Linked DNA regions of Coturnix japonica. The main gene of each other region encodes a partner of the protein of the gene in region 7 in a complex. Links are inferred from orthologs where the notes say so. Each region holds a gene or a part of one and is shown on either strand. Other genes may lie near its edges.

Evidence for each region.
Region 1: IQCD (region 7) and DRC7 share a complex: the UniProt entries of both Homo sapiens proteins name them as parts of the nexin-dynein regulatory complex. The link is inferred for Coturnix japonica from reciprocal best matches to the Homo sapiens genes DRC10 and DRC7.
Region 2: IQCD (region 7) and DRC1 share a complex: the UniProt entries of both Homo sapiens proteins name them as parts of the nexin-dynein regulatory complex. The link is inferred for Coturnix japonica from reciprocal best matches to the Homo sapiens genes DRC10 and DRC1.
Region 3: IQCD (region 7) and TCTE1 share a complex: the UniProt entries of both Homo sapiens proteins name them as parts of the nexin-dynein regulatory complex. The link is inferred for Coturnix japonica from reciprocal best matches to the Homo sapiens genes DRC10 and DRC5.
Region 4: IQCD (region 7) and GAS8 share a complex: the UniProt entries of both Homo sapiens proteins name them as parts of the nexin-dynein regulatory complex. The link is inferred for Coturnix japonica from reciprocal best matches to the Homo sapiens genes DRC10 and DRC4.
Region 5: IQCD (region 7) and IQCG share a complex: the UniProt entries of both Homo sapiens proteins name them as parts of the nexin-dynein regulatory complex. The link is inferred for Coturnix japonica from reciprocal best matches to the Homo sapiens genes DRC10 and DRC9.
Region 6: IQCD (region 7) and EFCAB2 share a complex: the UniProt entries of both Homo sapiens proteins name them as parts of the nexin-dynein regulatory complex. The link is inferred for Coturnix japonica from reciprocal best matches to the Homo sapiens genes DRC10 and DRC8.

The regions. Positions count from the first base shown.
Region 1 is NC_029526.1:1,949,762-1,953,261, forward strand, and holds part of DRC7 (dynein regulatory complex subunit 7), read left to right. Parts: intron 1-540; exon of another isoform or gene 541-697; coding exon 698-910; exon of another isoform or gene 911-1,824; coding exon 1,825-1,935; exon of another isoform or gene 1,936-2,233; intron 2,234-2,641; exon of another isoform or gene 2,642-2,767; intron 2,768-2,917; coding exon 2,918-3,028; intron 3,029-3,500. UniProt on the Homo sapiens protein: Component of the nexin-dynein regulatory complex (N-DRC) a key regulator of ciliary/flagellar motility which maintains the alignment and integrity of the distal axoneme and regulates microtubule sliding in motile axonemes.
Region 2 is NC_029518.1:96,158,169-96,161,668, forward strand, and holds part of DRC1 (dynein regulatory complex protein 1), read left to right. Parts: intron 1-14; coding exon 15-152; intron 153-786; coding exon 787-873; intron 874-1,069; coding exon 1,070-1,192; intron 1,193-2,765; coding exon 2,766-2,905; intron 2,906-3,242; coding exon 3,243-3,377; intron 3,378-3,500. UniProt on the Homo sapiens protein: Component of the nexin-dynein regulatory complex (N-DRC) a key regulator of ciliary/flagellar motility which maintains the alignment and integrity of the distal axoneme and regulates microtubule sliding in motile axonemes.
Region 3 is NC_029518.1:27,141,813-27,145,897, reverse strand, and holds the start of TCTE1 (dynein regulatory complex subunit 5), read right to left. Parts: upstream 2,801-4,085; 5' UTR 1-2,800. Other genes in the region: AARS2 (alanine--tRNA ligase, mitochondrial), read right to left, coding at 3,381-3,545, 3,919-4,029. UniProt on the Homo sapiens protein: Component of the nexin-dynein regulatory complex (N-DRC) a key regulator of ciliary/flagellar motility which maintains the alignment and integrity of the distal axoneme and regulates microtubule sliding in motile axonemes.
Region 4 is NC_029526.1:16,813,775-16,816,122, reverse strand, and holds the end of GAS8 (dynein regulatory complex subunit 4), read right to left. Parts: intron 1,062-2,348; coding exon 996-1,061; intron 718-995; coding exon 568-717; 3' UTR 501-567; downstream 1-500. Other genes in the region: 5-hydroxyisourate hydrolase-like, read left to right, coding at 1-124, 341-430. UniProt on the Homo sapiens protein: Component of the nexin-dynein regulatory complex (N-DRC), a key regulator of ciliary/flagellar motility which maintains the alignment and integrity of the distal axoneme and regulates microtubule sliding in motile axonemes.
Region 5 is NC_029524.1:13,164,054-13,167,765, forward strand, and holds the end of IQCG (dynein regulatory complex protein 9), read right to left. Parts: intron 3,603-3,712; coding exon 3,528-3,602; intron 2,320-3,527; coding exon 2,188-2,319; intron 1,447-2,187; coding exon 1,345-1,446; intron 873-1,344; coding exon 735-872; 3' UTR 501-734; downstream 1-500. UniProt on the Homo sapiens protein: Component of the nexin-dynein regulatory complex (N-DRC), a key regulator of ciliary/flagellar motility which maintains the alignment and integrity of the distal axoneme and regulates microtubule sliding in motile axonemes.
Region 6 is NC_029518.1:31,158,854-31,162,334, forward strand, and holds the end of EFCAB2 (dynein regulatory complex protein 8), read right to left. Parts: intron 1,996-3,481; coding exon 1,953-1,995; intron 1,849-1,952; coding exon 1,782-1,848; intron 1,005-1,781; coding exon 874-1,004; 3' UTR 501-873; downstream 1-500. UniProt on the Homo sapiens protein: Component of the nexin-dynein regulatory complex (N-DRC), a key regulator of ciliary/flagellar motility which maintains the alignment and integrity of the distal axoneme and regulates microtubule sliding in motile axonemes.
Region 7 is NC_029530.1:9,594,600-9,598,679, reverse strand, and holds the start of IQCD (dynein regulatory complex protein 10), read left to right. Parts: upstream 1-1,280; 5' UTR 1,281-1,932; coding exon 1,933-2,553; intron 2,554-3,648; coding exon 3,649-3,882; intron 3,883-4,080. UniProt on the Homo sapiens protein: Component of the nexin-dynein regulatory complex (N-DRC), a key regulator of ciliary/flagellar motility which maintains the alignment and integrity of the distal axoneme and regulates microtubule sliding in motile axonemes.

The DNA.
Region 1 (3,500 bases), on a different chromosome or scaffold from region 7:
AGCTGTTGTGTCTTTCAATTGCTTGCTTGACAGAGCCACAGTGTGTGCATTTGTCTCAAAACACATTGAGAACTAGAATGAAACTAGGAAATTATGACCTGGAAAGTGTGTGTCAGAGGAAAGAAAAATAGCTTAACTGTGATTTGGGAAGGAAATTTTCACAAGGCTCCCAACTGTTTTGTTCTGGCCTCAAGCTACTGTTCTGCTGTGCTGACAAAGTGTCCTACAATGCTGTTACAAACAGGTTCCTCTGTCCAGTCAAGTCTGGATTGGAGAACAGTTGAGAGAGAAAACCTGACATCTGCTGGTACGGCTCAGACACTTCATCTGCCACGGCAGAGCCATGCTATGGCCTTTGGGTCAGTACCCAAGGTGCTTTTTTTGACTCCTTCCTTTTGTTGGGGAATCTGGGATATTTTGTTGTGCTCAGCTTACCTTGCTCCATCAGTCTGAGATGCATCTCAAGGTAACTTCGAGCTTGAAGAGCATGCTCAGCTCCACAAATGGGAGTCTGTATTGCTTTAAGCAGCTTTGTAGTTGTTTTTTTTTTTCTCAGGGTCCAACCGTGGGCCAAGGCTTTAGGAGTAGCTGTAGCAAAAAGGCCCAGTTTTTGTCTTGAGCTTTGATTTAACTCTCTGCAAATGTTGCCATTTTTCTCTGTGGTCCAACTCACTTCCATCTCTTTCTCTTCATTCAGCAAATCATGGAGCGTTTCCACAGAAACCTACAAAAGCCTGCTGATGAAGATGTAGCAGAACGTGTCTTTCTGCTCGAAGAAGATGTGATCCAGCTGATATACCACCTCAAGAATAAATACATCACAGCCTCAAAGAAGGACTTCTTCAAACCAGCAGAGAGCTATAGGAAGCAAAGTGAAATCATGACCCCAGATATGTGCGTCACATACCAGGTATGGAGAAAATCTACCTATATCAAGGTGCTTTTCTGGGTCATGGAGACACAAAGGATAGGTGTAATGTCAGTGGAAGCATGGCATGGCATATTCACGCTCAGCCTCTCCTCCATCTGCTTATCAGGTAGTTTATATGGCCACTGAGATCTTGCAAGATGCTGATTCAGCTGCTGCTTGTCTCAATCCTGCAAATTCGTTGCAGGGAAGTTGAAATTCCCTTTTCTGTTCTCTCTTTAAGAGACTATAGCAGAGAAGCAGAGCAGATTTTAACTCAAATTCTGCCATGGATCACAAAGCCTGGGTCACACTGTTGTTTAAATCACCCCCAGTTCACTCTGCAAATTCAGGCAAGGTACTGAGGCTTTCTTTATTGCTGATAGGTAGGTAGACAGATAGCCTTAAATAAAAGATATCCCCAAAAAGGAAAGTGCTGTCATTAGGCCAAATTCTCTCATTCATGGAGGGGTCACTTCATTAATGTCTCTGATGTGAGTTTGTAGTCAGAAGCTGATGTCTGCCTGTACATTGTGATGCTGCACAGTTACACATAGGAAATCAGGTTACAAAGATATAAACGCAACGAATATATATTTCTTAATTTATATTTCTGGTGTGGAGATGCAGTTGCTGGAGTGCTGTTGTTTCATCTCTAACCCTGTATAAACAGTCTCAGCCAAATAACAGGAACATCATCTAAGAGATGCAGGACATGCAATCTGGCTGACATTACTGATGGACTCAAAGTCTAGGTGAACTGCAGTCAACTATTGACAATGGGTTGGATGTTTTTATGGTGTAAAGCAGTGCCCTTATATTGACTTAGCAGAATGGTGCCAGTTCATATTTGCAAAGTACTTGGTCCCGTGCACCCAGACAACAATACTGCCTTTCACTAGCTTATCTGCTTCCAGGCGGGGTTCCCTGAGCAGCGCACAAAGCTGGTCCCCCTGTATAAATTGTTGCAAGAGCTAACAGAGGAAGAGAAGCGGATGAAGCAACAAGTCTGGAGATCTCAAGCAGAGGTAATAGGAAGCTGTCCTCACTGCTGTCAGGAGTGGAAACTGGTTTCATTTAACAGATTGCTGAAGCCTCATTCAGCTTAGGCTGTGATAAAAACAAAACTGTGGTGTTGTGAAGCTGGTCTGCATGCTGAATGACCAAGTTTGCAACCCATCCCTTGTTCAGTACAGGTCTTGTATATGGAGAGAGACACACTTTCCCAGTCTTGCTCTGTTTGTCCTCAGGGATGGAAATGGTTTCAGAGAGAAATAACAGCGTGTGAATTGAGGCATCCAGGAGTAGATCTGTTTGTTTTCTTGCCTGGGAATGAAACAAAAAAGAAAGGATGTCGTATGTAGTGTAATCTAATTGCAAGACATTTCCAGGAAACCATAACAATAATATCAAAGTTGTGGGGGTTTTTTGGTCGGAACAACTGTAGGGAAATAGTCCACAAAATACATTGCTTGTACTGTTACACTGTGACTGCTGTAACAAATTCACATTCTTAGAAGTTTCTGTCGTCACTTCAGGATAAATTCAGTCATTCCAGCAAGTGGAGACAGAGCTATTGGATTTGGTTGGGTTTTTAATTGTTTTTCTGTGGAGGAAAAACCCCCTGGGGAGGAACGCATAATAACAGCATGCAGGATATTCAGAATAGCTGAGAAAAAGCTTGCAATGTTCTTCAGAATTGTGAAGAGTGTAAACTGTGACCTCCTGAATTACCTCACCAGATTTCTTAGTCTTGATGTATTTGCAGACAAAACATCCCTGTTGTTTGTGCTGTGTATCCTGTAGAGACAAAGCAAAAAGCCAAAGCCGTCATCACAGTTTCAAAACTATCAGGTTGACTTAGCAGTATATGAACGTTATTCATAAAGGTCTGGGATATATTTAACCTTGTGTTACAGTTGTGGTACGCAAGCAGCTGCTCTGTTAGCATGTAGAAGTGCTGTCACTTAGTGGGGAAGCTGAGTTGTCTTTCTTCTGATTGTTTGGAAGGTGCTAAAGATTCTGGAGACCCGTGAGAGTGAAGAAGCAGACATTAAATTGTCAGCTTCAATATATGACACAGAGAGGAATGAAAAGAAAAGACAAGAGTACGAAGCCATGGTAGGTGGACTTTACTAATCCCAGTATTAATTACATGCATGCAAATTAATTAAATCCAGAGTAAGCGTTTTCTGTCTGACAAATTAGCTCTGAAGATCTTTTAGTGTTATTAAGAGTTATAAGTGTTATTAAATCCCTAGCAGGTACAAGCTGAAAATATAACATGGCCATGTTATGACCTTCTGGCTCTCTGGAAAACCCCACATGAGAGGAAAAAAATGATGTTGTTTTACTGTATTTAGATAACAACTTAATAACTAATCCTTGTTAATTATTTTAATAATAATAGGGATTGGGGGGGGGGAGGGGATAACGGAGTCCAAGCTGCATCGTTCTAGCCAGGTCTATTTTCACTAGGTCTATGTGCACATCTTTGCATGCTTCATTCCTCTATGAATCAGTTGGGGTTTATTTTGTTCTCATTATCACTTGCAAAGGCAATTTTGTTTCAGGGTCTCTCTCAGGGAATTAC
Region 2 (3,500 bases), on a different chromosome or scaffold from region 7:
CTGTCCTCCTCCAGGAGCTGAAAAACAAAGATGAGCAATACGTGCAAACCATTAAGAAGCAGTCAGATGACATCCACCTGCTTTTGGAGAGAATGGAGGAGCAGACCAGGATGATGTTACGAACTTACCGTCACAATATCCATCAGATTGAGGTAGCCAGTTCATTCGGTAGAAGTAGAGTTCAGGGAGAAAGACTGCAGCTGTTCCCTTCTCCATATCTGTTGCCAAAAGGCCTCAGCCTCTTTCCACCAGCTGGGTTGATTACTGTCCAGAGCAGAGAGCTGATGTCTTGATGAATGAAGCTCAAATCTGGCCAATCAAGAGCACTGAATGATGCTGGGTGCTGAGGGGCTGCTTTATACGATGCTGTGGATGACTTTGGTTCAGCACAGAGAAACATGGTAACATTTGAAAGCTATTGCTCTTTCATGGCTGGTTAATTGTCTTGCTAAAAGCCAAGAAGGAGCCTTGTTGGTCATAATTCTTACCTTCTGCAGAGCATGGAAAGTCACAAATCAGTGTTGTTGAGCGAGGGTTCAATATCAGACAATGATTTCCATTGAATTCACAGAGCTGCCACCAAAAGCAGCTCTCATGGGTTAGGGTGACTTACAGCTGTCCCAGTGGGCTCACAATGTCAGATCTCTGCCATTGAGAGGAGACATCAGGCCTGTGTGTATGTTCATTAGACAGGAGCAGCTGTCAGTCCTCTCCTGGTGTGGACTAGAACGAGGCTGGCAAATTGAGGTGCCACTGTGATGGTAAATGGCTCTGTCTCCTTGGCAGAAAACTTTTGAGCACGAACGGCGAGAGCTGCTGGACAACAACAGGAAGAAGTGGGAGGAGGCCATCCAGGACCTCAACACAAAAGAGGTAAAGTCCCCATGAGATTTATAAACTCTGATGGTGGCTGCTTGTTTAGGTGCATGGTGGGCAGAGGGGCAGGTATTTCAGCCTGTTTTGCCAGGGAATAATCCATGCATGACCTTGCTTAGTGCTGGCAGAGGGAGCTGTGATCATGGGAGGAAGCTGTCACCTCTGATGGATGATATTCTTCTTTTGCCCTTAGCTGGAATACCTACATTCCCGTGTGAGCAAGATAGAAGAGTTTGAGAAAGAGCTGAATCAGCTGCGACTGCGGGATGAGGAGGAGTATAACAGCATGAAGATTCATCTGGAGAATGATGTGCAGGTACAGAAAGGGCTGGTGTGTGCCATGTGGTGTGACAGTTGAGCAGACCACCCTGGTTTGTTCATTGCTCTGGAGGGCAGCTGGATGGTGTGTCTGGTATCTGATCACCTCAGCTCTTCAGCATGCACAATCCAGCTCCATGCCAACAGCATGATGGAGCTTTTAGTCTCTCCTCTCAGTGGGATCCACAGCACAGTATCAATGTGCCTTTGGCTTCTAAGCGGTCTGTAGCAGCTCTAGGATCTATGAAGCAGCTGGGAGTGTTGAGGGTTTTGCTTCTTCAGAAGTCAAGTTTGGTAGGAGGATCAAATAGTGTGAGTGTTTTGACACCAGATCATTTCAGATCAGACTAACTGCCTCCCTTGCAAAAGTCCGTGGCCTAGGAGGTTTGAGTTTTTGCCTCTGACATCTAGCCCTGGGCTCATGATTTCTCTAGTAGCCATGAAGTCATAGAATCATAGAATGGCCTGGACTGAAAAGGACCACAATGATCATCCATTTTCAGCCCCCCTGCTATGTGCATGGTTGCCAACCACCAAACCAAACTGCTCAGAGCCACGTCCAGCCTGGCCTTGAATGCCTCCACTTCTGCTTCCTTGGCTAAGCAGAGGACACAACCACAGCTGACACCTTCCCTGCTTGTTGTTATTTGTTGTTTCCCATGCTGCATGGTACAAACAGATTTGCATTTGACTTAGTAAGGCTCATTGCTTATTGTGGTTTCACCCAGCAGGCAGCTCAGCACCACACAGCTGTTCACTCACTTCCCTTCAGTGGGGTGGGAGAAGGAATCAGGAAAAGGTGAAACTTGTGATTGGCATAAAGACAGTTTAATAGAACAGAAAAAGAAGGGGAGATAATAATAATAAAGAACATACAAAGCAAGTGGTGCACAATGCAGTTGCTCACTACTCCCTTATCCCCTCCACTTTTGTTGCTGAGCATGATGCCATTTGGTATGGGATATCCCTTCAGTGATTTTGGGTCAACTGTCCTGGTTCTTTTCCCTTCCAACACCTTGTGAACCCCTATTCTCCTCACTGTCCATGTGGGCAGCAACAAGAAGCAGAAAAGTCCTTGGCTCTGTGTAAGCACTGCTCTGCAACAACAACAACATCAATGTGTTATCAGAATTCTTTTCCTCCTAAATCCATAACATGGCACCATGCCAGACACTACAGAGAAAATTCACTCTGTCTCAGCCAAAACTAGGGCAGTCCCACATGATGTTTTCCTAGGAGGCCTGGGGAAATACAAGCTAGGAGCCGTGTCTGCAAGGTTTTGCAACACAAACAGCAGGTGAAACATTGCTGTCGCAAGGTCCCTGTCCACTTGATAGAGCAATTCCAAGGGGACAGTTCAGATTCTGTGACTTCATATTGATAACTCGGGCTGATATAGATTGTGTAACGTTCACAAATGTTTCTGAGCCATTTAGGGTGGGAGAAATGTGCCTGGGAAGCTGGGTTTGGAGTTACAGGTTTGGAGTTACTTACATTACTGAGTTATAGTCAGGCTTCTCTGTGTCCTTTGCTTACAGCACAGCTTCTTTCCATGTTTTCTGAATTGACAGAACCTGGAGAGGCAGATCCAGCATATGAAAGCTGTCTATTTGATCAACCAGGAGAAGCTGGAATACAACCTTCAGGTGCTTAGGAAGCAAGATGAGGAGAACACCATCATCAGGGCACAACAAAAGAGGAAGCTCAACCGGTAAAAAACCATCCCTGGAAAACGAACAGGCTCTGCTTTACCTGCTGCCATCTCCTAACATACCATTTGTTTTTGTGGAAACCATCACTAGCACAGGATTGAGCTCTGACCTGCCCCATCCCTGGGCAGGGGGAGAGTTTAGTCCAGGGCAGCACCATCCCCAGAACAGTTTGAATAATCTGGCAGTGACCAAACTGTGCCAACTAGGTGGGATTCAGTCAGGTCTTGGTGCTGGTCACTAGCAGATGGGTAGCTCCAACTCCCAAAGCCTTCATACATGTGAGATTTGCCCTAAAGTGCCTCTTTGGGAATCCCCAGCTTTGCTATCCCTCTCCAGGCTCAACAGCTTACTCAGTAATCTGAGAAAAAAACTGGTCAAACAAGAGAAGCAGTTCAGAGAGGAGAACCAGAGTCTTGTAGCTGAGTGCGAGCGCATCAACGGACGATGCAAGGATGTGCAGAGAAAGATGAGGTGGGCTGTGTTTGGAGGCCTGGCCATCCATCTGTGATGAGGCTTCAGAGCATTTGAATGACATACAGAGGGGGGCTGACTCATTTATGGACACAAAAGCTGCTTCTATGGGCTTTCTTTCTC
Region 3 (4,085 bases), on a different chromosome or scaffold from region 7:
CTGCAACCCCAGCCCTGTGCTGGGTCTGCTGCTCTATCAGAGAGCAGGACAGGGACCCATGGCTGCTAGGCTAGAGGGTTATGTAGCCTGCAGAGCCCCAGCTCTCATCCCATCTGTGCAGCTCTTCCAGCTAGGCAAGGCCTAATGTGTGTGGTTGGTCCTTCACACAAAGTCAGGTAGCTGCCTGGAATTCGGGCCGGCACTCACATGCGCCCTTCAAGGACCTTGGGGGTCCATCTGGACTTACAGAGCAGTTGCCTACTTGACAGCACCTGTTCACAGCAAAAAAAAACTCATCACTTATTAACTAGTTCCTGCTTTTCACTGTCCTGTGTGTGTGTGTGTGCATGCAGCCCGTGCTGTTTGGAGTTGCAACGCGTGCACAGAGAACTGCTTGCACCTTAGATCTCTAGTAAGGGAATGCAAGCTGCTATTTTGGCGAGAGATCTATATTTAAAACTCATGTTTCATCCCCTCCAGCTCTCCTAGCTGAGCACTGCTCTACCTACTGCTAAAATACAGAAAGATGGTGGCTATGTCCGTAGCATTGGATGCGTGTTGTCTTGTGGAATAAAAATGGCAGGAAGAGGATGTAGTCCTGTACACTGGGATTTAGGAGAATAGCATGGAATTTATTCTTTTAGGATCAGTGATGGTCCAGCACAGCCACATCTCAGAAACCAGCATTTCTACTGCAGCAGCCCATGCTACCAAACCGGTGCCTCCACACAGCTGCTCTTTGGTAGGATGAGATGCTTTCTCTCTTTCGGTTACATAGCAGGTTTTGTGCTACAGAGTTACAGCAAGATCACAACTTGGTTGTGCTGCAACCTTGTTGATGACCCATCTAAATCCCTGCAGGCTCAGAAAGAGGAAACTTTTCCTTAGTGCCTCTGCTCAGGACACCCAGGGTTTATTTCTCATGGTGGGATTGGCTCTGCCACCTTGTATCTGGGGAGCCACTCTTCCCATAGAATACAGGAGGGGGATAGCAGAGCTAGGAAGCCATGAAGCTGTGTCACTGCTGCCCACTCATCTCAGCAGGCTCCTTCCCCAGTGCTGAGAGCCCATCAGATCCTGCAGTGGAGAGGAGTCCTTCAAAAAGCCCCTGAGGACACCACCACTGCTCTGGAAGTCACTGCTGCAGCAGCCATTGGCTGGCCAGGTGAACACTGGTGGGGGCTTGACTTGCACTTTCTCTGCCTGCAGAGACATTACCTTGAAGGTCAGCACACGGATCCCTGCACATCAAGGGGTGAGGCAACAATTTACAAGGTGCCAGTAGTTTTAAAGTTGAAATTAAACAACAAAAAAAGCACAAAGGGAGGTTAAATCCATAAGGTTGCTATTGGCAAGCTCAGGCTCTGCTTTTGGAGCATGATGCAGAAGCAGCTCAGCCTCTCCTCCTCCTCACACACCTACTCTCCAGTACCAAGAGGAGGCATCATCTCTAGCAGCAGCTTTTATGAATGAGGAAGCAATCAAGAAAAGCATTTTCCCAGTAACACAGAGCATCCTTTCCCTTCCCCATACCTGGTACTGCTGTGGCTGGGATGAAACACAGCAGCTGTTCCACAACAGGCATTAACAGTATTTTTAACCGATGGCGTGAACTGTCCCAGTCATCCTGATGTCCAGGAACCTCGGCTCGCTGTCTCCTTTACTAAAAGCTCTACCTTAAACTCCCTGGATGGAAGTAATGATTAATGGAGGAGAAGGTCTATCCTCTTGCTGCAGATGTAGGGGCTGTCAGCACTATGGTGAAACGCAAGATAGTATGGAGCACCACCAACCTCATATCAATATCAGGCACTTAACCAAGTGCGAGCTCCTGCTCTTTACACAGCCACAGGTACTAAGAAAAGACGTGTAGGAGTGACACTAAGTCTTAGAATTGGGACTGGACAGCTGCTGAGATGAGGAAGGAAATCCCTCATCCTCTAAACACAATTAAATCCACCACCTTTCTCCCCTGGGTCAACTGTTGTTCATTGAGGAGAGGAGGCCGTGCTCACAGCAGTCATTTCCCACTATATCTTCTTTACTTTGCCTTATTTATGTGACAACTGAGCAACAGGCAAATATATCAGCCTGCTGAGCTTGCCCTACAAACCTAAGCTGAGAGTAGCAGCTGTGTGCAAGTGCACTGCTGTATCCCTCTGACCAAAGGGTTATTGCTGGGTCATGCACGTGAAGCTCAGTTCTGTTCCAGCCATGCAGCACTGTTAGAACCCTGCCTACCTCGGCCACCTAACAGTCTGCTCTCAGCTACCAGAAGCTTATTGTATCAGTCTACCAAATCTGCTAAAAATTCACTTCCTAGCTCATCAGCCTCACCACTGTGGGGGTACCCTTCCTCCATAGCATCAAACATCCTAACATAACTACCCTCTTTCTGCTCCTCACCCACTAACATCACTGTTCTTCCCACCCCCTAAAGCATGTAGCTATTGCCTCCTAATTCCACCACACCAGGCAGCCCTATCTGCTGCTGAAATTCATCTGTGCCAGGTTGCTGTTCTTGCTCACAGGGTGAAGCCTTTCTGTATCACTACCCAGTTGCACCTCCCTATCAGCTACCACCCATGACCTCTCTATTTAGGCCAGTTTGTAACACAAAGGTTTTCTGGCCAAGAACTCCAGGCGTCATTCTAACAATGGAAGTCTGAGGAAGCAACCTGAGAGGAAAGGATTTAAAAAGGAGCAGAAGTAAGAAATGTGTAAGAATGTGCACTCAGAGCAAAGAGGTGGAGGTCAGGATGATTCTGTTCCCTTTGTGCTTTAACAAAAAGGCCTGACTACAATACTAACCATTGCATAGGCTAGGCAAAAGGTTGTGCACACAGGCAAGAACTTCTCTTCCCATTTCTAAGTTACTGTAGCATTTTTATCAGGGACTGGTGTATCCTTTAGCAAGATGGGACTGCTTAGACTACAGCATATATTTATTTTTACAGCATATATAAGCTTTCTGGGCTTACAGGGAAAAAGGTGCGGATATGAAGAAAAACAAAACACCAACATAACATTAGAGGGATCAAACACTCTCCATCCTTTAATAACTTTGGGATACGACAGTCATGTTCTCAGAACCTCCCAGTGCTGGTCTTGTGGCAAGAACTGCACTGTTCCAGAAGCTGGTGCCTTCTGAGGCTCAATCACCATATACCCATGATGAGAACATACAGCGTTGCTCTGTCAGTGCTTTCAGGAACAGACACTGCTCAGCCCTGATGGCCAGACACCAAGTGCTCCAATGCAGTGGTTGCAGCAGGGCTCACTGTGAGAATTGTCAAACCTTCTGCACAGTATAACGTGCACTCTGCATCAAGTATCCACACAGCTTACAGCTGTCCTGCCACCAAAGCATCACACACATTTCAGAGTTTACTCTGAGCAAATTCCAGTGCAGTAGTCAGGGCTCCCTGCATGCCCTTGGCATTTCCACTGCCCTTAGCGACAACAGGAGAACCTCCTGCCTTGCCTTCCATCTGTGTACAGACAGCCACGGCCCAGTCAGCAGCGGAGAACATGGGGAGGCAATTCTGGGGAAGAGACACACACTTTGGTCTGTGGAGCACTCTGCAGCATGGAAGAAGGAACATCTTTCTCCCCTCACCCAGCCTGGACCCTCGCTACCTGGGGAAGACATGACTGAGAGGAGACTGAGCTTACGTGTTAGCTCTACATCCTACCACTGGGCAAACATGTCTTGGATGACCCAGGGATATTGGTGCCCAGCAAAAACTGAAAGATTATCTGGCCCCAGTACAGTCATCTTGGGTCATTCCTCAACATAACTCATCAGTGACACTGGGTAGAAACCCAAGAAAAAATTCAGCTGGGACCTAGTGAGTAGTGTACCCAGTCCTCCTCTGCAGGAAGGCTTCCCTGGGATTCTGCCAGGGTTCTGCTTACCTTGGACACCTGACAGGCACAGAGCACCTCCCCAGAATCCTGAGGGCTGAGCAGCAGGACTGATGTGCCAGGTGACTTGTCACAAAGCTGGTTCACTACCTTCATTAGGATCTAAGAGAGGAAGGAAAAGGCAGAGTCAGGAGACTGCTGCGTAGCTACCATTGGCT
Region 4 (2,348 bases), on a different chromosome or scaffold from region 7:
AGATGGGCGCTGTTTGCCCCTCCTGCCCCCTGGACAGGCTGAGGCTGGCACCTATAAACTGCACTTCGAGACGGCGGCTTACTGGCAGGGCCTGGGGTACACCAGCTTCTACCCCTTCGTGGAGGTACCAAAGGGCTGAGCAAGGGGGCTGGGGCGCTGCCAGGAGCCAGCTCTGGTCACTGCAGGAGCTGCAGGGGGTTGGGTGCTGTGTCCTCAGTCCTCAGCCCCGCTCCTGCTGCACCGCCAGCACTGCTTACAGGGATGCCCAGGCTCCAGGCTGAGCAGGGGCTGCTTTTGGCCACGACTTTAACCCACCCGCCACCTCCCTTCGCTCCCCCAGGTCGTCTTCACCATCACTGACCCAGCCCAGAAGCTGCACGTCCCACTGCTGATCAGCCCCTACTCCTACACAACGTACCGGGGCAGTTAGGGCAAGGCACATCCTCACTCCAGTGCCACGGGGAATCTGACTGATACTATTAAAGGACTCAAACAGCACCACCAGTCTGAAAATATTTGCTTTCCTTCGGGTCGATTGCTGGGAGCAGCTGTGGGTGCTGCGTGGTGTCACGTGGGCACTGCCACGAGTCCTGCAGGGCCCTGCCCCACTGTCTGCCCCACCACTGGGCTCTCCAGGGGTTTAAATCCCAGGTTGTCCAGCGGGATCCCAAAGGATGTCAGCTTTGCCTCCATTGTCTGCAGCATGTCGTTGTGTGCCTGGAAGAAAAATGCTCCATGTTCTGGGCTGCCACCCCAAAATCTGGCCCTCCCTGCCAGGACATGGGCACCCTGCAGTCTCCTGAATGGTGGGGGCCCCCCAACAGGCCTTGTTGCACAGGGAAATGAGGGAATGGGGAAAACTGCAGGCTGGGCCAGCAATCCAGGGCACCAAACAGAGCTGCCAGCCTCTGCTCAAGGTCTGGAGGGAAGGCATCTGCTCTTCCTTCTGCTCCCCCAGCCCCAGGAACACAGCATGACTCAGACCCCTTCCTCACCTTGCAGGCTCGGGCCAGCTGGTACTGCAGGTCCTCAATGGTGGCGTTTTTAGAATTGAGCACATCCTGCAAGTGGAGACAGATGCGTTAGACTTGGGTTGCTGGCACCAAGGGCACATCAGCCTGGGGCCACGCTGCAGGCCAGAGCATGTGGCACAGAACACTGAGCAGATGCTTGCACTGAGACATGGCTGGGCAGACAGTCACCACCCTGGAGCCAGCGTTGCCAGGGACAGTGAGCCCTGGGCAAATGCAAAGCACAGGGACCTCCCAAACCATGAGCAGGAATGGCAGCAGAGCCCCACCATCAGCATCACCTGCCTCGCTGCAAGGGGGGGTGGATGGCAACACCTGCTCCTGCAGCACCTCCCCGCCACCACAGCACCAGGGGAATTACAGGGAGAGTCTCCCCAGGATGACGCCGGTGGCTGGAGGCAGCTGAGCAAAGGAATTCAGGGACCCCAGCAGCTGTGGGAGAGCGCGACGCCTCGACGCCTTCCCAGGAATGTGTTTCCTAGTCTGCTGCTGCGGCACCTGCTTGTAGGTGACAAATCCACTGTCCTGTCACACAGACTGAAAGCCTGGGGCTGCTGCTGCCTTCATCACCAGAGCTCCCTGGCAAGACGGAGTCCATGAATCCATGAGCACCGCCATCACCCACTGAGGGGACCAGGAATGGAGCAGCACAAGCAGGAGGACACCAGGGAAGCAGCGGCAAAGCCGAGCAGGAAACCTGCATCCTTTGTGTCTCCAGCCAATGTGAAGCAAATGCTGCTTCTCCAGTTACTGCTGCTGCACGCTCTAGGAATGCGGGTCTTTGAGCCGCCACACCGCGCCAAGGCTCTCTGCTTATGTATTTTTAGCATGCCAGACATTGCAGAGCTGCTGGGAACCTGTCTGTGCTGCCTCTGCAGCCAGCAAGGCCAGGAGGGGCACGGCTGAGGTTCACCAGAGGTGGCTCCCTGCACACGGAGTGCCCAGGGTCGCTGAGATGGGCCGTGCACACAGCCCACAGCTCAGCAGCACATCCTAATGCCACATGGCACCTGTCAGCACAGAGACCTGAGCAGCGCTGCCTGGGGTCATTCTCCTTGAAACAGTCTCCACCTGAGCGAGAGATCAGTGCCAAACGCCCACACGCTCCACTCTCCAGGGAGAGCCGGAGTGCCCTGCGGCACCACGCAGCCATGGGTGTGCTGGGAACAGCTGACACAACAGTCACAGCCCGGCTCTCCACATGGCGCAGCCAACAGCAGAGCAGACTGAGGTGCTTTTGCAGTGTGCTGATGCTGGGGACTGGCCACACAGCCAGGTATGTAACAGTGCAGAGAGAGGACAGGGACTGTCTCCTGC
Region 5 (3,712 bases), on a different chromosome or scaffold from region 7:
AGTGTCAGAGCAGGGGCTGCCCCCTCAGTTAAGTGAAGCAGGACATTGCACCCCGCCTGCTGCCTGGGCTCCCCACGTGGCTGTTGCAGACAGGGTGGTGGGTGCAGCTGTGGCACATCAGCTGTCTTTTTCCATGGCTGCTTCCCTCTGTAGGAGGGTGTTCAGAGCTATTCTGTCTATGTGCTGACACTCTGCAGTACTGTGGGAATGGAAACCCGCGTGCTTTGACTGCCCTCATGTTTACACTGCAAACCATCAGCAGTTTTCCCCTGACTCGACCTAATGCTGCCACTGACACCGGGGCGAGCGCTGCCTGAGCCCAGATGTGGGTGACCTGCCTTCCTGCCCCACTGGGAGCCACAGCAAACCCCATTGCTTCAGCCAGCACCGTGCTGTGCGGGACTGCGGAGCAGGTTCTCAGGGCAGAGCGTCTCGTGCTGCTGAGTTACTGCGCCATTAGCAGAATTGCTCACTAGCTGTATAAAAAACTTCAGAGGATATCGTGTTTCTCACTGTTTTAATGCAGTTTCCGTTTCTACTGAGGAAAAGGTGTTCTTGCTGTACAAAGACTGCTCGGGGTCTGAAGTTACAGGAGCTTCACCTTAACTGTGCGTCATGAACTCTGTTCTCCAGAACAGCCCGAGTTCTATTCCACGGTTTATTTTGTGCTGCTGGACACAGACAGCAGTGCCTTACCCAGCAGCAGCCCCAGAGTACATCCAAGTCCAGGTTTCTTAGCGCGTCTTTTTCTTTGCTCCGGGCTTTTCCTTTGTGCCTTTCTGATCTACCTGCTCATTGTCTTGAGCCTTTGGCAGGTTCTGATAGGGGCCGAGGTTTCTGCGGACCATTGTACCTTTCCACCAGGCCTGCAGCTGGAAGCAGGAGAGAGAGAGGTGTCAGAGGGAACCTGGACAGAGAATGGACAGAGCATCCCTCCTGTAACTCCTCAGCTGCAGGACGGAACCTCTGGCCCATGCAGCAGCAGCTGGGCCTACGTGTCCATGTGTAAGCCAAGGGCATCTGTAGAGGTGGCAAGAGGAAGGGAGCAGCTCTGTAACTCCATTCCTGTGTCACCCATGCAGAGGGGCTGCTGTGATGAGCACAGCTCCACATCATCCCTCAGACTGGCTTTTTGTCTTTTGTTTCCTTCTTAACCCTTCTGCAGTTCACTGCAGCCTTTGTCTTTGCTGCAGGAGAAGGAACAAGTTTAATCTGTCCCTCGCTTGCGCCACCTCACACCAGCCAACTTTCTCAGGCCATTTTCTGCTTGAACAAAGCCTGTGGTGCAAATAACTCCAAGCTGCTGGTGGAGCAGCACTGCCTCAGCTTTGCTCCCCCTTTTACCTTCAGGATGCTCTTCAACTCCAGCTCATCCTGCTCTCGTTTTCGTCTTTCAGCCTCTCTTCGTGCCCGGTCAGCAATGATGGTTTCCTCAAATGTCCAGCACTGCAAAGTGGCACAGGAGTTCAGCAGTCACATGAAAAACACATCCAGGGAGCACTGGGAGCCCCGCGGCAGCCCACGGCTAATGGGTAAACACAGACCTTCCTCCCCCACCTCCTTTATTTGATCTTCCCTGAATCCAGATGGCAAATGTTGCTCATTACCACCACCAGTCCTAAGGCACCGAGAGGTGCTGCCAAAGTGAAACCGCTCATGGCCTGTGTCTAATTAACCTTCTGATCCTGTGCTGTGAAATGGCTGGTTGGTGGGGTCTCGAGCAACAGATGTTAGTAGGAAGGATCCACGTTCCCCCAGGACAGGTAGCAGATGATGAGTGAAAACACTTGGGGCACTGAGATGACAGCAAACGGAGTGAAAATGGAGCCCACAGGCAGGGGAACATCTAACTCAGTCTCAGCCTCTCAGAGCAGTGACAGTAAGGAATGCCTACAAGTGAATTTCTTCTGACCCCCCTTTTTCTACACACTTTGCTGCCTGTTCTGCTCTGGCAGTGCATCTGCAGTCAGAGTCCTGCAGTTAATGGTTTTCTAACTACATGCATTAATTACATCATCCATCCCTGATGTCACAGGTGATGTCACACCTTCCCAGAACTTCAAGTCCCATCCAATACCTCACGACTGCTGTTTTTTCCCCATGGCTTTCATTCCTTATCAGAATGATGGTATGAAAAAGGCAGGATGCGGTTCTGCAGGGGCCAGCACTGAGCTGCTGCTGTCTTACCTCACTGGCAAATTTCTGCAGCATTTCCAAGTTCTTTGCCTTTGATTCTTTTAGGTCGTCGAGTTCTTTATCTTTAGCGTCTGTGTCGTTTTCATACTTTTCCATCCAGTATTCCAGCTTCTCTTGCACCTTCTGCAATGGGACAGAGTGGGGCTTAGCAGGGTACAAAGAGTGGCAAGGGAAAGGTTTACTGCTGCGACATGCCTGCGCTCAGGATGGGGCTAAGAATGCCATCAAATGTGCACAGTTTGTTTCCTTCTCACCTAAGCCTTGGCAGGATCACAGTGCTAGGAGTAACAATGCTGGGGACCACCATGAGGGCAGCAGCACTGGTCTGGGTCTGAAGAATGGCAGCGCACGGGGGGTTACATTTGTGCACAATCCTGGTGAAGTAAATGACAACCAGGAGCCATTCTTTGTGTGTGTGCACAGGGAGAAGAGTTCAGGAGATGGAGTTTCACAGTCAGAAAGCTTTTATCCTGCACGTGTCTCTCTGGCCACTTTCTGGATTAAACTCAGTGCACCAGGAATGAGGTCCCAAGGGAGAGCAGGTTGTGCTTTCTCAGGTTGTGCTTTCTCAGGTTGTGAACTTGGCTTTGTTTCTCACATCAATAGGACGGCAGGTGTTTCTGAAAGCACCATGCTGCTGATTTCCTCCTGTTCATGACTGATTTCGCCATAGCAACAGCCATCGCTGCTTGAATGGAGGAATAATATGAGGAAAAGCATCAGTGCTGTGACAGCATCACAGCTGGACACACAAGGGAGATGGGGGCGAGGTCATCTTCTGTGTGGGCCACTGCGAGGCCACCAGCTGCTGTCAGTGCAGAGAGGCTGCTGCTCAGGTAGCCCACTCGCCTTGAAACACCAATCAAATGTGGTTCTGGGATATAGAGGAAGTCCCAGTTACCGCCAGAGATGGCTTAAACAAAATCCACATTGAGCTGAATGTGGCTGTTTGAGGGAAGGGAAACCTGTAACTTTGGCATAAGCAATGCTAGTCGTTGTATGAGCAGTAATTTTAAGGCAGTGTATCCGAATGTATCCGAACTGATCTAGTAAAGGTGTATGTTTGGTGGCCCTGCCAGGCAGGGGGTTGGAACTACATGATCCTTGAGGTCCCTTCCAACCCAGGTCGTTCTGTGATTCTGTGAATGTGGCAAATCACAAATATGGGACAGCTGGGTTCATTAAGGGCTTGAGGGTAAGCAGGAATCCAACCAGCAACGATCAGGAACCCGGTTGGGTTGATGGAGCAATAATTGGTTTTCTTTAGAAATGAATCAATGTGATGTTTATCTGTTGCCAGTTGAAGCATTAACAGGGAAAGTCACCCAGACCTTGTGGGAATGCCTCAGGAAGTTTTCAGCCTCCACGTGCACTCGGATCTCCTCGTCAGTTTTCCTCTTCAAATCCTATGATCAATGCAGACAGAAAATGTTAGACAGCGTTGGTGCAAATACGTGTGCACAACATGCGTGCTGGTTGGATTCCTGATGCATTCAAACATCTGCGTTGTGATGGG
Region 6 (3,481 bases), on a different chromosome or scaffold from region 7:
GAGTCCAACCCCCCTGCCAAAGCAGGCTCCCTACACCACGTCACACAGGTAGGCATCCAGGCGGGTCTTGAATATCTCCAGAGAAGGAGACTCCACCACCTCCCTGGGCAGCCTGTTCCAGTGCTCCGTCACCCTCACTGTAAAGAAGTTCTTCCACACATTCGTGCAGAACTTCCTATGCTGTACTTTCATCCCATTACCCCTAGTCCTGTCCCCACACACTACTGAAAAGAGACCAGCCTCACCACTATGGCTCCCACACCTCAGGTATTTATAAGCCTGGATCAAGTCCCCTCTCAGCCTTCTTTTGTCAAGGCTAAACAGACCCAGTTCCCTAAGTCTCTCCTCATAGGGGAGATGCCCCAGGCCCTTCACCATCTTTGTGGCCCTCCGCTGGACTCTTTCCAAGAGATCCCTGTCTTTTTTGTACTGGGGAGCCCAGAACTGGACACAGTATTCCAATCAATGCCTCATTAGTTAAAACACAAACAGGGATCACATTTAAATACAAAAGTTTTATCATAGTAGCATGCCCTCACAATTCAGTCATCTTAAAATACTCACTGAGCATTTGTTTTCCCAGGTCTCATTTTTCTGTTAATCTTGCAGCAACAACTGTAAAGTCATTTCTTGACTCCATTATTTTTCAAACCAAATTCCATGATTCCTTTTCCAGATCTCACACAATATTTCTGTCAAGAACTCTTATGCTAAGTGTGAATAGATTTCAAAATATATACAGAAACTAAGGAAATAAAACTACACAGATTTTATTTTAATTATAAGTGCAAGGTCACACACTGTGTTTTGTTGTACTTGAAATTTCAGCCAACTGCTAAGCTACACTGCTGTTACCACAAGGCACCTCAGAGTCTACTGTGGGAGATCATCAGCATCTTCTACTAACAACTTTAAAATGTAGTCTCTGTAATGAACAGCATCTGTTTTTGGATCTATAGCACTGGAAAGCATCTCCTCCATTTCTTCCTCAGTAAACGGTTCACCTGAAAAAGAAAGGAAAGTAATGCTTTTTCTTGGTAATTATTCTTTTCAGGGCTGACAAATTACTACTTCTCTCTTGCAAGGATATTTTTTCAGGGCTTATGTGAAGGAAAAAAGAATCCAATTCCTTCACTTCTACAAATGCAGAAGTCCTCAATGCCAAGCCAGCTAGTCCAAGAAAGAAGACAGGGCTTGGATCTTTTGATCCACATTTAGTTCACAAGCTCCAAAACACCCAGTTTTGAACACGGCATGCTTGTCATTTGCTACTTGAGGCAGGCAGGTATGAATCAGCCATGCAAGAAAAGCAGGCTCTTCATGGGATACTGAGAATTACACTATATACAACTTAAATCTGGTCTTTGAATCTCCTTGTTTGCACAGGACACTAGAATTAAGATCAAGATAATGCAAGAATGAATGAGTACTGAAATTACCTGAAACATTTGGAAATCTAAACTGAAGTTTTAGAGTGAGGAGAAAAGGAGTCACATCTTTATGAAGCACATAAATGTGCACAGAATCACAAAATATTCACACAAGACTAAACTATGACTCCATAACAATAAGATCTTACAATATCTGCAAAAAGGCAGATACATGTTCTTTCCCTACATTGTTCACCAGGGAAATGTTCTAGTCTGTAAGACACTCATAAAGGCAACAAGATTGCTTGAAGACTCCTGCAAGTTTTAGCTTGAAGAATTAGGACCACAAGGTGCCATACATATATGTAATATTTATTTACATAAACAGAAATATTATAAAAATCATATTACCTTCTTCAGTCATATGTTTTACCAGCTCCTCTTTAGTAATGTATCCATTTTTATTCTCATCTAAAGCCTTTAAATAAAAGGGATAAAACTGTTGTGCTTCTAATCGTATTACATCAAGAATCAGCTACTTTTTTCCCCAGCAATTAGGTACCTGAATACTTAGTTACAGACCTCAAACGCATGTAGAAGAACATCTTCTGGAATAGGCCTGAAGCTGAAACCGTTGAATCAGAAAAGAGTTAAAGTTTGTAAGGCTGTTGCATTATTCTGAAACAATAAAGTATGAGTTCTAGAGAGGGAAAACCTACTTTCTAGTTTGTCTATGAAACATTTAATTCCAGTTTGACTTCATGGAACTTCCCATATCTTCACCCCTTGTGTTCTTCATTGTATTTCTGTTTGATTCTCCTTGTGCTAAGGAGCCAAATGAGTTGCTTTTGCATGCCTGAGCTGTCTGAGTGAGTTAGCAGGAATCAATAGTTGCTGAATCACTCCACATAGCAAATGCAGGGAACAGAAAATTGCCAAATCAAGAAAACAAAGTTTTGTCCAGGTAGGCCGGTAGCTAAGCAACAGATCACCTAGTGGGACTTTGACAGTCTATTGACGAAAGGCAACAGTTTCACAGAGAAAGCAGCAGTAGGTGCATATGTGTGTCTAAGCGCACCTGATTTCACAGCTTTCTTTTTAAAATGCTTGGTTGTTTCATCCAGACCCACTTCAGTCTTTTTCTATCTTAAAAACACAGTTCTTTGTGATTCAGATCTCAAGTGCACTTGAAAAAGTGAACTATAAACATGGCACCAAAAGATAAATGTGAGTCTTGACAAGCCTGAGCTAGCCTGGGAAAAGTGTGTGTTTTTGTGTGTGTGTTTGTGTGGATGGGGTGGAGGAAGAGGAGAGAGCCCAGGGCAGAAAGGCATTGCTTTGTGAAGTGTTGAACACCAGCGTGAAGCCAGAAATGGGCAATGAAGGCCAAAGAAGGCAAAGGTGCAGAAGACTGGGAAGGCAATGCACTTGTGCCAGCATGCAGGAACCAAACACCGATTGGTCCCTTTCCAGGCATGGGCACAAGGATTCAACACAGCCCCAGCGTCCCATACATCAGGATGTTGTGAGACAGTTGAGGGAAATCCCATAGCTATTTCATGTGTAGAACACCAAAAGAGCTCTGTATACAGAATAGTTTCTGGGTTATGGACAAGACTAAGTCTCCCTAAACCCTTGGCTACTACCTTTAAAACTCCCTATAGGTAAGATTGCTTTTTAGTGCAAAATATCAAAAGAGCACAAGTTCCTGTGTACATCCAAAGATTTGTATGTACTTTTGAATAATGGACAGCTTTCTTTCTCCAGACTTGTAGATCAGCAAATGTTTTAGACCAGCAGAGTGCCAGTTGTGTATATTCAGCTGTACCTGGCAGACACTTTGAGACATGAACATGAAGCTGATTTATACAACTTATTAAAAATACGCTTTAACAAACTGCTTCTCAGCAACTGCAACTCAGATAAAGTAATGGCTGGGACCTTGTTTGTACATAAAATATTTTCAGAGTTGAAATAGCAAAATAATTCTGATTCACACTAAAAATACAATAGCTAGACATTACCACAATTCATTATTATAAGCTGATATTATTTGTACCAATAGTACAATGCAATTTTATGTAGACTACATCATTTTGAACTAAAATCTC
Region 7 (4,080 bases):
ATTGAACGTCACCACCAAAAGCTGATGCAGCAATTTGTGCAAGAACAAGAGATAAAAATAGAACGGTTTAAGAAAGCAGCCGAAAGGTTTGAGAAATCCCTGGAGGTGATCAGCCGCAGAGGTGGAAAGTCGTCTGCCCCTGCTGCTGCCGGCCAGGCTGCGAGCACAGGGACTCAGCACAACGCTGCTGAGTGAGAAGGGATTGGGAAGAACATCTAGAGAGCTCCTCCTGCAGGCTGTGCTGCACTGAAAGCTGCGTTTTCCATCTACGTGCTTGGATTTTCAGCTCATCCTTCCTGAAAGCCAGCCTGCTATAACAATAAACAACACCGTCCCTTGCTGTCGGGTGTTCCTCCTTTTATATACATGAAGCTGATGTGGTGTGGGGGCACTGTCTGGGTAGCAGCGCAGGTGTAAAGGGGAAAAAAACCCTTCCAAAGGATTGCTTTCCTCTGAGGCAATAGAAAAGTAATGTAAAGCCAATAGAAGATATTTTGGGGCTTGTGTCTTTCCTTTTTGGAAAGGATGCAAAACGTGTGTCATGGCTGCTTGGATCAGAGAGTCCGAGGGTGTAAATGGATCCTTCACTGGGAAAAGGATTGGTAACTTAAGGCACACACAGGACAGACAGTAAATTGCTTCTTTCATGCTGGCATTGGAGATGGGCTGGTGTTTGCCTACATCAACTGGATGGAGTGGATCTAAGAAGTGTGCTGAAAAACAAGGAAGTGGCAACAAGCAAGTAATGCAGCACAGCTTTGGAGGAGCCTGGAGGTTGTTAGACTGGGGTGGCTTGCACTGGGTCTTCCTTGTTGGAAAACACTGGGAGAAATTGTCATTTTGTGAGCTTCTGAGTTTGATCTAGACACATGTGTGATCAAATAGTGCTTGTGTTGCATCCTTTGGCACGCTGGGTCTGGCTGATTCCCAGACCTGGTTGTGCAGAGTTTGCTGCAAGGGTTTCTGCTCATCAGAGCCTGGGAGACGCTGATCAAAATCACATGCTCTGATCTCAATGCCCTGACACCTCCATGCAGTTCTGCTGCCTGCATCCAACAGCAGAGGGTGCTGGTGGCTGAGGCTGGAGCCAAGGGCAGGATACATTCCAACATCAGCCAGCATTGACACCCAGCCCAGGACCCAGCTCCCACCTGTAACAGCGAGCAGACAGCATCTGGCCGGAGCTGTGTGTACAATTAATCCCTTCCTTCACCAAACAGGCTGCAGGGACACAAGGACCCGGGGCACCCTTTGCTTTCTATGGCACTCCGAGTGCCACCGCCCCTAAGATGGCCACACAGCTACGTCAAGGCCTCTCCTCGTTTTCTATTGAGTAATAGCGCTGCCCGTCAAGACAGCGAAGGCGCTGAGTGGTTCGAGTCGTGATGTGTGTCGGGAAAGAGCCCGCAACAAGCGGAATCCTAGCAACAGGGGGACTCCGGTGGCAGCACGGTCCGGCTCCATAGCGGCCTTCCTTCGGCTGGAGGCCGCACGGCGCTGCGAGCCCCCAACCACAGCCTTGGAGCACTGCAGAGATACAGCCTGATCTGCCACAGCTGCTGCTTAGGAGCTGGGAGCTCTCACCGCACCGGCTTCAAGGCCAGGAGCCCCTCATGTCCCCCCTCCCCACAGGGGTGCTCATGGCCCTGGGTGCTTGACAGCATGTGATATGACACCCCCCCCAGCACCCTAAGGACGCTGTTTCTCTCATATTCTCCTCACATTTTCCTTTTAGAGATCAAAACTAAAGAGGATTTTGCAGCAGAAGCAACAGTGGTCTCTCACTGTGGGCCTTGCCCCGTGTAGGAGATGCTGTGTCCCTTCTAGACGTGAAAACAATTCACTCCTAAGTGTTTAAGTGTGGCAGCAGGGAGCCCAGCTGTGCTCTGAGTATCAGTGCAGGACACGAAGGAAAGAAACAAGATCCTGATAATGGGAACAGAGGCTGCAGAGAAGGCGATGACCACAGTGGACTCCATGAAGGGCTTAGATCCACGCCGGTTGAAACCTAATTGCTTTGAGACAGAGAGAATCCTATCTGTCTTGGATGAGACCATCGCCAAGTTGGAGCTGAGCTCCTTGATCCCACTTATTATCGGCTCTCTGGACAGGTTTGCTGACCTGCTGGGACCTGAGATCACAACCAGCCTGATGGAGTACAAGAAGCTTTCAGACCAAATGGAGCTGCTGCTTGTTGCTGCTGAAGAAGGGGACATCTCAAAACAGGAGGAGCAAAGGGTTGCTCTCCATTTGCTGGAACAACAACTGAAATGTTCTGTTAGGAATATCCTCAGGCTCTTCTTGGCCGTCCCTTCACTTTGTAAGGCTCTGAAATATGAAGTCTGGGCAAGAGAGCCAGCAACTGAAGCATTTATCAAAGCCTTCAGGGAGTTCAGGAATTTTATGCTTGAGCGACTCCTGATTAGTCCCAAGGAAGAGGAAGAAACAGTTCAGCTGGTGGAAGACGTCTCCCTCCGGATCAACAAGAACACTGAAACCATCACAGCTTTGCAGGCAGAACTGGCAGCAGCAATCAGGACCCGAGATGAGGAGGTATATGAGAATGCTTGGTGACAAAGGGTCGCTGAAGCAAAAGCTGAAAAACAAGCCCTTTCTGACAGGTCCTAAAGGGGAGATTCCAGAAATGATTTCAAAATCGGATTCTAAATAGAATTTGGAAATGTTTCTTGAATGCTTCGTGTTGAAACTTGGCATGTTTTGAACCTGTTCTCACCAGCCAACTTCAATGGAGCAAGTTATTGAGCTTAAAAAGGAGCTGCAGGACAGGCACAAATGACTGCAGTAGTATTTTAGCAGGGCTGCCGTGCCAGCTGCCAGGGAGAGGCTCCATTCACTGCTGCTGACATGATGAACAGTCATTCCAGGGAGAGATTGTTCTGATTAAAATCAGTTTTTCATGCCAGCTCTACCTTCGCTCTTAAAACTAACATTTGTGAGACTTCCAACTCCAATACTGGCTACCTTGGAGATCTATAATGAATGTGTGATGACACCATTTCTTTTCCAGTGAAGGCAGCTGGATGGATTAGCTAATGGGCATTTCCCAGGTTCTTTTTGTGAGTCCATGAGCTGAGCCAGAATTCAAGTCCTGGATTCCTGACAAGCCATCCCTTGTTTTATGTGTGTGCTTGTCTTCTTTCTGCAGGAGGGCTCAGAGGGGAAGGTTTTGTCTCGTGCTCATTGCACCGAATGGTTCTGATGGAGATGAGGTCTGTGAATTGAGACACATGAGATTTTTACGTTCACTTTCTTACCAGTGCATAACAAGTGTGTTTCACTGCCCCCAGCTGAGGATCTCTCTTGCTGGCAGCCCCTCTGAGCTGTGTCCTCCAGGCAGTCAATCCAAGCCTCACCTGAAGCCAAAGGGATGATCTTGGCTCCTCTTGAGACAAGGCCGGCTTCTTTACCCTGCAGTGTCAGTGAGTCTCAGTACAGCCTGGTCATTCTATGGCTTTATTCTCAGGTTCAAGCACCTTGCATAAATCTGACTCTGTTCCCTCATCTGGTCGTGCCAGGTCCCTGTTCTTAGATCACCTCCACCTTTGCGACTGTGTCTTTTTCCTCCTGACCACTTTATGCTTCACCTGCACACCCTATTGACATTTCCTTCTGGTTTTCTGTGTCTAGATCCAGAACAAGGACAATATGATCAAAGATCTCAAGAACAGCATGGAAACTGTAGATGAATGCAGCAAGGACAACCTCCTGCAGATCAAGTTGGAAGGTGAAAAACAGCAGAAAGAGGAGCTGCGAGCTTCCCAGGCTAAGTGTGCCAGGCTACAGCAGGACATTCAGCAGCTGGAGGAACAGCTCAATAAGCTGATCCTGGAGCATCGAGTATCAGAGCTGGCTCTCAGGAAGGTAAATGGTCAGAACTGTTGTAGAGCTGCTTGGTGTGGCTGCAAGTGTCTATTTTGTTCCTACCATTTCCTGGCAGGATGCACACGCTGTTTGTCAGAATATACCTGTGCTGTCCTCGTGCTCTGCTGATTTCAGCAGAAAGGAAGCCTGCAGTGCTGCTGGGGAAGTCGCCTGCTCACAGTTCCTCCTCTTGTTCCC